Rattus norvegicus: one gene and its partners. The protein of the gene in region 1 interacts with the protein of each later gene in a pairwise test. Links are inferred from orthologs where the notes say so. Each region holds a gene or a part of one and is shown on either strand. Other genes may lie near its edges. The genes, in order: Crk, Usp53 and Dppa4.

Region 1 (3,650 bases):
GATGGTACAGCAGCTACGTTTATGTGCTGTTCTTGCAAAGAGGACCCAGATTCGGTTCCCAGGACTCACAACCATCCATAACTCCAGTTCTGACCCGATACAAATGGGTAAAACATTTATACGGGTCAAATAAATCTTTAAAAAAAAAAAAAACTGGCCAAGAAATTCAAAGCTGAGGTAGAACTGACTGACTCCTCTCCTCGCCTGCTCGTGCAGTGACCTGTGCCAGGAATGCTGCGTCCCACCCAAGTCCACTGTTAGTAAGGTCTGCAGTCAATGTCAACAGCCCACCCACAGTGTACATAGCACTGTTAGGTAAAGGCATCATCCCCTCACCCCACATTAGCCTGAAACTTGCTTTCTTCATCTGCCAGGCAGTGTGACCCAGATAGCACACAGTTTACTTCTCAAAGCCAAGACAAGTTAGGACAATCTCAAAAAAATACAAAGCTTCAGCCTGTAATTCTAACACTTGAGGGCTTCTGCAGGAGTATCAAGAATTTGAAGACAGCCTGGGCTACATAGTGAGTCCCCATATCACAAAGCAAAACATTTGAAAAATACAGTTTTTTTTAAGCTGGGTGTGGTGGTACATGCCTTTACCCCCAGCACCCTCTCTGTGAGCTCAAGTCTACATAGTGAGTTCAGGGCAGACAGCAAAGTTACAGTTAGACCCTGCTTCAAAAAATCTAAACACGGTTGGGGATTTAGCTCAGTGGTAGAGCGCTTGCCTAGCAAGTGCAAGGCCCTGGGTTCGGTCCCCAGCTCCAAAAAAAAAAAAAAAAAAATCTAAACACATAAATAATGCAGTTTTCAATCAAATCTATGAAACTCAATTAACTCAATTAGACTAGAAATGAAAAAAATTTCAGGACTGGTGAGACTGCTCAGTGGTTAGGAACACGACCTGCTCTTCCAGAGTACTAGCATTTGAGAGCCAGCACCCACAAGGCAGTCTATAACTCCAGTTGTTAGGCATCCAATGCCCTCTTCTGGCCATTGTGGACATTTGGCACACAGACACATATGCAGGCAAAAGACCCATCACATAAAATAAAAATAAATCTGGTTCAAATACACCTTAGGTCACTGTATGGACTACCACTCACTTACAGGCAGTTCCTACCCTACTGTGGGAGCACAACCCAAAGGAAAAGGAAGAGCCAAGTCACAAGAGCACTTTCCCCTCTGCCACTGTGCTCCCCTAACCTCAGGCCACAATTATGAGAACTGGCTCCCTCTCTACTCAAGCCAGTCTGTTGGCAGGCTCTGGAATACGAGAGAGCAGGTCACCTCTGCATCAGCCTTTGTCCTGAATACTTACTCTTCCTGACACGTAATGAGGGAGCAAAGACACAGGTAAGAAGATGAGCTGTGAGTACTCAAGAGGAACCACAGAACATCTGTAATGAATGCCAGGTCATAACAAAGTGGGCTTCCACGAATGACTGAGTTAAAAATAATTCTTGTAAACACTGGCTTCTCAAACACACTAAGCAACAAAGAGAAGTAAATCTATTTTTTATAACTTACCCTCTTAGTTATGGCTAAATTCACATCTGTACACCAAATATCTCTGTGTGTGTGTGTGTGTGTGTGTGTGTGTGTGTGTGTGTGTGTGTGTGTTTGTGTGTGTGTGTGTGTGTGTGTGTGTGTGTGTGTCCCCTACAGCAGGGACCAAGGCCTAGTGAAGGCTAGCATTCAGCTTTTCTTGATTCATACCAAACATAATAGTAAGGAATCTACTATCCACTAAAATAAAGTCAGTTTTTGACTGAGCATGGTGGCACACACCTTTCATCCCAGCACTCAGGAAGCAGAAGCAGGCAGATCTCTGTGACTTTGAGGCCAGCTTGATCTACAAAGTGAATTGCAGGACAGCCAGAGCTACATAAAAACACCCACTCTCAAAAAAGCAGAAAGGAAACCCTATGAAAAACTCCCACTTAAGTATACTGCTACATCCCACTTACTACACTCTACTGTGGGCGGACCCATTTTGTTTTAGACAGTAGCAAACAGCAAGAAAGAAGTTAGGAATATAGATGAGAAAAATTACTTCAAGTTAATTCCTAATCAGGTGGTTATTAGTCAAAGGTTTAGTAGATCAATCAGAACATTCAGTTACACAGTTTTAAATTTACTCATTGCAAAATAGGTTTTCTCTAAAAAAGAGAAAACCCACATAAAATGCCAAAGTCAGTACTTAATGGTTTGACATCTACAACATCACAAAGCTGGCGCTGTATCAGCATTCCTACAAAGCCGGAAGAGGTCTGAAAGGGAGACCCTGTAGCAGATCTCGTCTTTCTACATTTTGCACATTATGTACCTCCAAAGCCAAGGCTGTCTTGTCGTAGGCATTAGGGACTCGCTTCTGGATAACCCTGGCATAAATGGGCCCATTCTGGAGGTTAGGGAGCGGAGTGTTGACGCTGGGTTGGGCATAGGGCCCAGGCTCCGGCCCACCCAGTGGCTGTGGGTGGGAACCCTCCTGGTTACCTCCAATCAGAGCCGATACTGAGGCGGAGGCGGGTCTATACTTCTCCACGTAAGGGACAGGAATCATCCCCCTCTTTCCTTCGCTGTCCTCTGCATTCCACCACTGCTCTTCAGGCTTATCCCGGATTCTCAGGATGTCTCCTTTCTTAAAGGGAAGATCTTCTTCATCATTCCCATTAAAGTCAAAGAGGGCCCGCACATACTCTGCCTCCTCCTGCCTGAGAATCACTCCACTACCCTGCCTTGATCTGGAAACTGGTTCTATCAGTGTTGTAGTGTCCAAATAGTGTATTTTGTAGAATTCCAGTAAAGCAGGCAATGAATCAAATTCTTGATCTCCTATTCGGAGCCTGGAGGGACTCACTCCTGGAAAAAACAGAGCAGAGTGTCATTTGAAGATATACTGAAGTTGACTTCATGCATTTCTCATACATATTTAGTCAATATCTGACCACAAAAAAAAAAAAAAAAAAGTATACTGAAAAAATAAAACTTTCTTCACAGTCCAAATGGGTATCGCCCTTTAAAATTGAGCATCCTCTTACAGAGGACCCAACTGGCTCACAGCTGCTGTAACCCCAGTCCAAAGGATCTAATGCCCATTCCTCCCCTCCCAGCACATGACCCACATGATGCACAGGCATCCACACAGACAAAACACCCATACACATACAGTAAAATGAGCATCCCCTGGAAAGCAAGATGCCCATCACCATGGGGAGGAGATAGGAGAAGGCCATGATGGACCCGGCCACTTGGCTTGCAAAGAGTGTGACACAGGCACTTCTTGACTCTCCAACACCATGTTCTGATGCTACCCTAGAAAGAAAGTAACCAAATACAGCCCTGCAGCCTCAGGAAACACAGCAAGCTCCCTATCCTAACCCCCTGGTTAGCCTTGGCTGGCCTGGAACTCACTTTGAAGACCAGGCTCACACAGATCAGAGATCCACCTGTTGCTGCCTCTCAAGTACTGGGATTAAAGGCATGTGGGCCTGGCCTCAAACTCTCCTTTTTTACTGGGTCCCTCCAACTGCTGCAGCAAAAGAAAAGCTTCAAAGATACTCTAAGTACACAGATTACAATCACTAAAACGTACAACTTGGAAGATGGCATCAGATTCCGAGATTTGAATTATAGATTGTTTT
Region 2 (3,650 bases), on another chromosome or scaffold:
GATGGGAACTGCTGTGCTCTAAGTATTCTGACTTATGGAGGTCTCCGAGGTGGGCACCGTAACTATATCCAACTCGTGTAAGATATAAAGCCTAGAATAATGAAAAGCTGGCCGAAGTTTACAAAACTCGTGTGAACTCATGCTGTCTTGTTCCACTGCACAGACAATCTCAAACAGGTCAGTGGAATCCTAACTGAGAAACACATTCACAAAAAGACACAAATCTACCTAGCCTTGTCTCTTCACGGGCAGAGGAAGGCAGTTTAGCCTTTCTGTTCAGTTCTTACCAGGAGTTACAGGTTGCTCAGCTGTTCACACACCCTGCACACCGGACAGAGTAAAAACATACCTGGTGCTCTCCTTCCACTTGTCTGCACTTGGCTCCGATTAAAGGAGGAAATGTTATCACCTTGAAATTTGTGATTTTCTTTCTGCTTTATCTGACCACCAAATCCATTTTCCTTCAAATTATCTGGTTTATAAATGATAGGCTTTTCACATCCTTGAAAAGACAGTTAAAAACACATTATTTCTTTCTTTCTCATTAGAAGAAAAGATATTTAAGTCATTGTTCAGACATTTTTAATACCCCAGACAAAATAAGTTAATATCCTAGGGGTGACGTCACTCAGGGCTTTATTCGCTGTGTTTTGCTGCTTCAGACTTTTCTGGTTACTAAACATTTACCATCTCAGAATTCACTGACAGAAAGAGTTCCCTATAGCTTCTTCTGTGCTCTGGGTGCACCACATTGACCATACTGGGGAATTCCTAACAGCCTTCTGAGGCTACTGGGAGGGAAAGGTTTCTTTGAAAAGATCAACAAAACATAGTAAAATTATCCTGGATTTCAATTGGCTAAAACTCAATTTTAAAATATTCTCCACATTCCTCTTACATTCAGTAGCTAATTGTAATAAATGAAAAATATCAAAAATTACTTTTTAAAAGGAATTACCCATATTTTCTTCAACAGATTTGTAATGTGACCAGTGGACAACCTGCTTGAGTGCGTCCTCAGTAGAGACTGCTGTACCATCTGGGTTTGCATAAAACAGCAAAAGTGGCTGTAAGTGGCATCGGATGCACTTGGAGACCACATCTTTCCATCTGGTTCCGATCTTTAAAAGCAAAATCACAGTAAAGAAACATAAACCATTCCTGACGTCTGTAATATTAATAGGCAGAAACTGAATTAATTTACATTTCAAAGTACATTACAGAATCCTTGCTCTAAAACCTTCCCTCCTGTACACACACACACACACACACACACACACACACTCTCTCTCTCTCTCTCTCTCTCTCTCTCTCTCCCCCTCCCTCCCTCCCTCCCTCCCTTCCTCCCTCCCTCAAATTAAAAACAAACACAGGCTGTTTTCTCAAGTGGCTGCTCAATTCCTCAGTTTCATTATCCTTGCTAATTATGGTTTTAGTAATTCTTTTTGAGTTTAGTCAATACACTGAGTAAGTACTGGGATCCCGCCATGAACTCTGTGTATTTCTCAACAGCTGAGGATAAATAGAATGTAACAGAAAACATTTGTATACTTTAGCAAAGTCTTATTCATTTGTTAAAGAAAAATTGGTCATCTTGTTATTGTAGAGCTGTAAAATTTTATATTTTAATATTTTGAATACAGAGCTGGGGCTAAAGTTCAGTGGCAGAGACCACTTGCTTAGGATATATAGCGCTGTAAGCTTCAATCCCCTATACTAAAAACAAGTCAACCTAAGACATGCATTCTGGATACTGGCTCTATTACATATGTCAGACAAATACTCTCTTCCAGCCTCCAGCTTGTCATTTTATTCTAAGAACGTCTTACTAAAGGGCAAAAGTTTTATTAAATTTTGATGACCCCAATTTATCAGTATTCATTTTTTATGGCCTAAAAGATGTTCAGTGAATGCTATCTAAGAAATGTCTATGAAAACAATCAGAGTTGACAAATGGCCTTTGTTATGTGTTATGAAGAAAGTACATAAAGTTCCATACCACGTGCTTGTAAAACCTATGGATTTCTAATTTTAAAACCAGTTTAACAGTTTATTAATAAAATTTCCAAAGCTAGTGAACTTTGAGAAGTGCTCACAAGATCAATTGCTTTCAACTTTCTCAGGTCTAAATCTGTTTTAGAACTCTTTTTTAAAACCTCAGATCCTTGGGCATCTACTAGGTAAGGAAGAATTCTAGAGTCCAGCCACAGTTTATTCAAAGACAAGCACCGAGTCAGCAGTGAACTGCTGGGCAAAAGCACCCGTGACAAGCTGACAACCCAGTTCTCATCAGGAAACCTTCATGGTGGGAGGAGAGCATCAGTTCATGTAAACTGTCCTGACTTCCCCTGCAGGGTGAGCCGCACATGCGCACACTCGCGCGCGGGTGCGCACATACACACACACACACACACACACACACACACACACACACACACACACATACATGTGTATGTACAGACACGCACAGGCACACTACAGCATACATATCAAACAAATAACAGATAATTTTTAACAAGCCAGGTACAATGTGTTACACCTACAATTCCACACATAAGATGCTGAGATAGGAGGACTGCTGTGAGTTTAAGGCTATTTTAGCTACATATTAATTCTAGGTTAGAATGGTTTATAATGTGAGACACTGTTTCAAAAAGCAAACAAATAATTTATCAAAAGAACATATACCCAATTCCTTATTATATACACAAAACTGGAAAAACAGTGCCTCATTCTATCCCTACCCCCAAACTCATTACTCTAAAACTGGACTAGATTAAAACTTAAGTTTTAAAATAAACTAAAATTTAAAAAATTGCAATAGGTAGCTTATCCTTTAATCCATTACTCTTAACAATTATGCCAGTACCGTATATATTGTTATGTACGTCTGTCGTGTGGAAGTCCCAATGGTTACTGCAGTCAGCACAGGTCTTACTTACCTCCTTCACAAGTGCATCATCAAAAAACACCCACTTGGAGCTCTTGGTGTGAAACGCAAAGGCACAGTAGTGTCGGCTGGTGTAACAGATCATACCAACAAGGTGCAGTTCACTGTCTACGGCATTTTCATCAGTAACCCTGTAAAAAAGCTATTTAAAAATATTAATGTATATTTACTATTGTCTCTTTAAATTACGAATCATGCATCTACATTATATGAAAATATTTCACCTACAGACTGGCTTTGATCCAACATTATTACTGAAGGTGCCACTGATACAGAACTGTCACAGAGCACTTTTAGTCTACAGAACCTCTAAGCTCCACAAATTGGATTCACCATGTATTAGTGCAGTAAGTTTCTCTAGCAACACAAAATTGACACTTTACTTATACTCCAAATGTAAGATGAATTATATATTCTTGATTAGATAGCACATTTGAAGAAACATTAAAATATCACTTAAAGTATAATTCTTTTTAATTGTAACAATAACAAAGTAAATTTAGAAAGGATCAATTTTAAAAAGCACACATGTATCAGGGAGATCAATACACAGATTGATTTTAAACCTTAAACCCTTTCTAGATTAGTATTTATGGTAACTAACATTGTCACCAATCATCACTCTAGGGTGAGAGGGCATGAGATGTGTTAGTTTATGATTGGAAGTCATTTCTAGTCTATGGAGAAAGGTATTCCACTT
Region 3 (3,750 bases), on another chromosome or scaffold:
TCTGGCATTCCACTTCTTCCCTTGGCTCCTCTGCACGCCCCTGTGGACAGGGGAGTGGGTTACAGAGTTGCCTGATGTCCTGAGACAGCATAGCCCTTCACTTGCTCTAAACTAACTCATATCTAAGGTCCCCAGGAGGTCAGCGCACGTGTTTACCAGTGTGCATTCTCATGGGACATCATTTGAATAACCAACCTGAGTTATAAAGTAGGGAAGCAATGGTCAGGGAAAGAGAGGGAGTCAAAACGAAAAGCAGGCTTAGCGCCACATGACTGTAACCCTAGTAGTGGCTAAAATCAGGGCCAGGCCAGCCCAGGCTTGTAGGGTTTTTCTCTACATAGCCTCCCTGGCTGTCCTGGAACACAGAAGTACCCCAGTCTTCTTCTTAGACCCACCCACTGTGGGACTATCTTAAAGGAAGGAAGAAAAACATTGCAGTAGCTGTAATCTTAGCACCTAGGCAGTGAATGCAGGTGTGGGGGGGTGGGGGTCACCAAGGGCCAACCTTTGGCTACAGGATAAAACAAATGAAATAGCTATGAACAAAGCAACAGAAGATAATGAAAACTACCCAAGAGTAGTTCCCTCTTTGGGGAAGAAAACCTTACTCTATCTTCTCATATCCCAAATATTTTCCCCCAGTCCTTGGTTCTAGGCTCACCCAAAGACTTTGTAGCCAGGGTGATGTACCAAAGACATTGTACCACTTCCATGGCTGACTTCCCTTCAGAGCCTCTCAGACATGGCCTAGGGACACTTTCCAATTGTGACAACAGCCTGGTGACATGTTAACACCGACCGATCTCTTCTTCAGTTCTTATACCTGACTCCCATCCAAGTCTTAATTCAAAGGTTATTTTGCCAAATCTCTATAAAATCTACCACATATTACCTCATTTCCACTTGTCAATTGATTCCATCTGATTTTAAACTCCACAAGAGTGGAGCCCCTTCCCCTTTTATTGCGGGCAATGGATAATAAATATTCTGCTTAATTAAGGGAACAGAGATTACAAAAACAAAACAAAAGCAACAACAACAAAACTAGAAACGATCCCTAAGCACAGAAAAAACAAACAGGCAAAAAAACCTAACAAGTATTAGGCCTCTTCTAGAAGATACAAGACTAAACACACTCCTTCCCTTTATATAATTTCCTAACTACTACTGTATTTTCAGGACCAAAAGTTTAAAGCTTATTAAGCTGGGTGGTCATGGCACATGCCTTTATCCGAGTTCGAGGCCAGCGTGGTCTACAAGAGTGACTTACAGGACAGCCAGGGCTACAGAGAAACCTTGTTTCAGAAAGAAACAAAATCAAACAAAAAAGCCAGGAGAGGTGGCATTGGGGAGGAAAACCAGCCCGGTTCACAGGACAAGTCCCAGGCCACCCAGGGCTACAGAGAAATCCTGTCTCCCAAAAAACAAAAAACAAAACAAAACAAAACAAAAACTCATTAAATAAATAAGTAAAAACACTAGGTCACTTCGCTGGAAAACCCAGATCTTTTCCAACCCCCACCTTCCCACCCCCCGCCCCCGCAAGAGTGGGAGTAAGTGACAAATTAACATTTGCCTGTTACTAGACACCTCGGTACTTTTTTATATCACAACAGGAACTAGCTTCAGAAGGACAATAAGACTTATATTCGCCTCTTTATAAACTACTCACTTTTGGACCTAACAAAATTTGTACACTAGAGAAAGCTGGAAACGGCTGGAAGGAGCCCTGGAAAGTGCTCAGGATTCTGGCTACTACAGTTAGTTAGGAACCAGCAGAGCCTGTCAGTCAGGTCTGTCTTCTCAAACCTCCTCAACTCTGAGGACCTTTGGATATAAACAAAAGGCCTAGAAGCCAGGTAACAGGCATTTCTGAGTTAAGCCCTCAGGTCTTCTCCCGGCCATTGGGGACTCCAGTTCCTTCCGAGGCTCGGTTCATATCCTGTTTTATCCTGTGACCATTTCCCTCCAGCTACCGCATTCTAAATTCCTTTCTGGCAAATCACAACCTCCTCTCCTAACACATCTACAACCAGGCCCGCGGGCCTCGTGCAAGGCCACGTCAGAGAGGGCGGGCGGAGCCACACACCTACCTACCTTAAAAAAAAAAAATTAAAGTGTAACAAATTGTAACGCTCCTTCTTTTCTTCCCCAAACAAGGCTGGGTATACTCCAAAAAAGAGGCCCTAGACTGACTAGTTTGGAAAGCCGACTTGTAAAAACAGGTCTCACCTTCTTGCTTCCAGACGGCTCCATCTTGAATTTAGATGAGACCTCCGAAAGAAAGTTCTCCTAGCTTCCAAATGACCTATGGCCTCCTTCGGCTTTTAAAAGTCTCCTCCTACTTCCTGTTGTCTTGAGGCCCTCTTCCGTTCCCCTCCCCTCCTGGTCCCACCCCCAACAAAATTGTGATGCTAAAGTCTGGTTTGTGGCTAATTTTAATAAAGCCGCTATTGTGTGGTTTGATTATTTTTGCTTTTTTCCTCTGAATTTCTTTTTTTCTTTTTCTTTTTGGAGGCAGGGTTGCCTGGCCTGAAATGCTTTATATACCTATGTTTATTGTACTGTCTGGGACTCGGGAATACAGAGATTTAAAGGAGCGAGCTGCCACGCCCTACTCCTGGCAACTGTAAATCTGGGAAATTTTAAACTGTAACTATTGCTGGGCGTGGTGGCGAATGCCTTTAATCCCAGCATTCGAGAGGCAGAGGCAGGTGGATCTCTCTGAGTTTTCTGGCCAGCCTGGCCTACATGGTGGGATTCTGTCTTTAAAAAAAAACAAAACCCAGCTCCGAAAAAAAAAAGAACCAAAAAAAAAAAAAAAAAAAATAGGAAAGGAGGGAGGGGGGGAGGGATCGAGGGAGGAAGGAAGGAAGGAAGGAACCTCTAAATATTGCTAAGGGAAAGTGAAGTTCCTAGAGAATTCTGAACAAGCTGTATAAGCAGATTGCAAATTTACCTAATGGAATTAGCAACCTGGACAGGAATGAAAACAACCCATTTCTTGTGACTCCAGAATTCTTTTACTATAAGACCACAGGGGGGTTGTATTGTTTCTGTGGTTTTGGGCTCTCGCAGGACTTTGTTTCTGCATACTAATCAGTCTACCACTGAGCTACAATCCCAGCCCACAAAATTACAACTTTTGTAAATCCTCCCCATCCAACCCTCCTTTTTTTTTTTTTTTTTTTTTTTTTTAAGTTCTCCATAATAGAAGTCCCTAGGGACCCAGAGCACTCTGAGATTTTCCTGTCTCTGACTCCTGACTGCTAAGATTCAAGGTGTGCCCCCTCACGCTGGGCCTGGGCTTGAGTTTCTGATCTTCTAGCCTCCTCAGGATTGGAACTCTGGCCACCAAGCCTGGCTTCAAACCTTAACTTTCTATCTGCCAACTGTTAAAAGGTTTTGTTGGTGCTAGTTGGTTTCTCTGTGTAGCCTGCTATCCTGGACCTGGACCAGGCTGGCTTTGAATTCACATAGATCCTCTCGCCTCTGCCTCTAGAGAGCTGGGACTAAAGGCATGTACTGCCAGCAGACTTTTTTTTTTTTTTTCCCAATAAAAAGTTTTTAAAGTCTACTGAATATGTAGTGAATTCTGGCAGTAAAATTCAGTCACTGTTTTGCAAATGATGATGATTTGTGGGAAACTATACTGGTAACTTGCTTGCCCAGTAAGTGAACATTAAGCTTGACTCTCTATTATGATGTCAGAGGATGCCCTCAGCACCACCATCTCCCACAAAAACAAAC

The links.
Region 2: the proteins of Crk (region 1) and Usp53 interact in binary tests that used the Homo sapiens proteins (3 or more experiments, as listed by UniProt). The two-hybrid records come from large-scale screens. The link is inferred for Rattus norvegicus from reciprocal best matches to the Homo sapiens genes CRK and USP53.
Region 3: the proteins of Crk (region 1) and Dppa4 interact in binary tests that used the Homo sapiens proteins (3 or more experiments, as listed by UniProt). The two-hybrid records come from large-scale screens. The link is inferred for Rattus norvegicus from reciprocal best matches to the Homo sapiens genes CRK and DPPA4.

What each region holds. Positions count from the first base shown.
Region 1 is NC_086028.1:61,038,857-61,042,506, reverse strand, and holds part of Crk (adapter molecule crk), read right to left. Parts: intron 2,869-3,650; coding exon 2,333-2,868; intron 1-2,332. UniProt on the Homo sapiens protein: Involved in cell branching and adhesion mediated by BCAR1-CRK-RAPGEF1 signaling and activation of RAP1.
Region 2 is NC_086020.1:213,774,259-213,777,908, forward strand, and holds part of Usp53 (inactive ubiquitin carboxyl-terminal hydrolase 53), read right to left. Parts: intron 3,093-3,650; coding exon 2,943-3,092; intron 1,122-2,942; coding exon 959-1,121; intron 503-958; coding exon 350-502; intron 1-349. UniProt on the Homo sapiens protein: Deubiquitinase that mediates 'Lys-63'-linked deubiquitination of tight junction proteins, such as MARVELD2 and LSR, and which is involved in the survival of auditory hair cells and hearing.
Region 3 is NC_086029.1:66,039,430-66,043,179, forward strand, and holds the start of Dppa4 (developmental pluripotency-associated protein 4), read right to left. Parts: upstream 2,326-3,750; 5' UTR 2,257-2,325; coding exon 2,233-2,256; intron 41-2,232; coding exon 1-40. UniProt on the Homo sapiens protein: May be involved in the maintenance of active epigenetic status of target genes. May inhibit differentiation of embryonic cells into a primitive ectoderm lineage.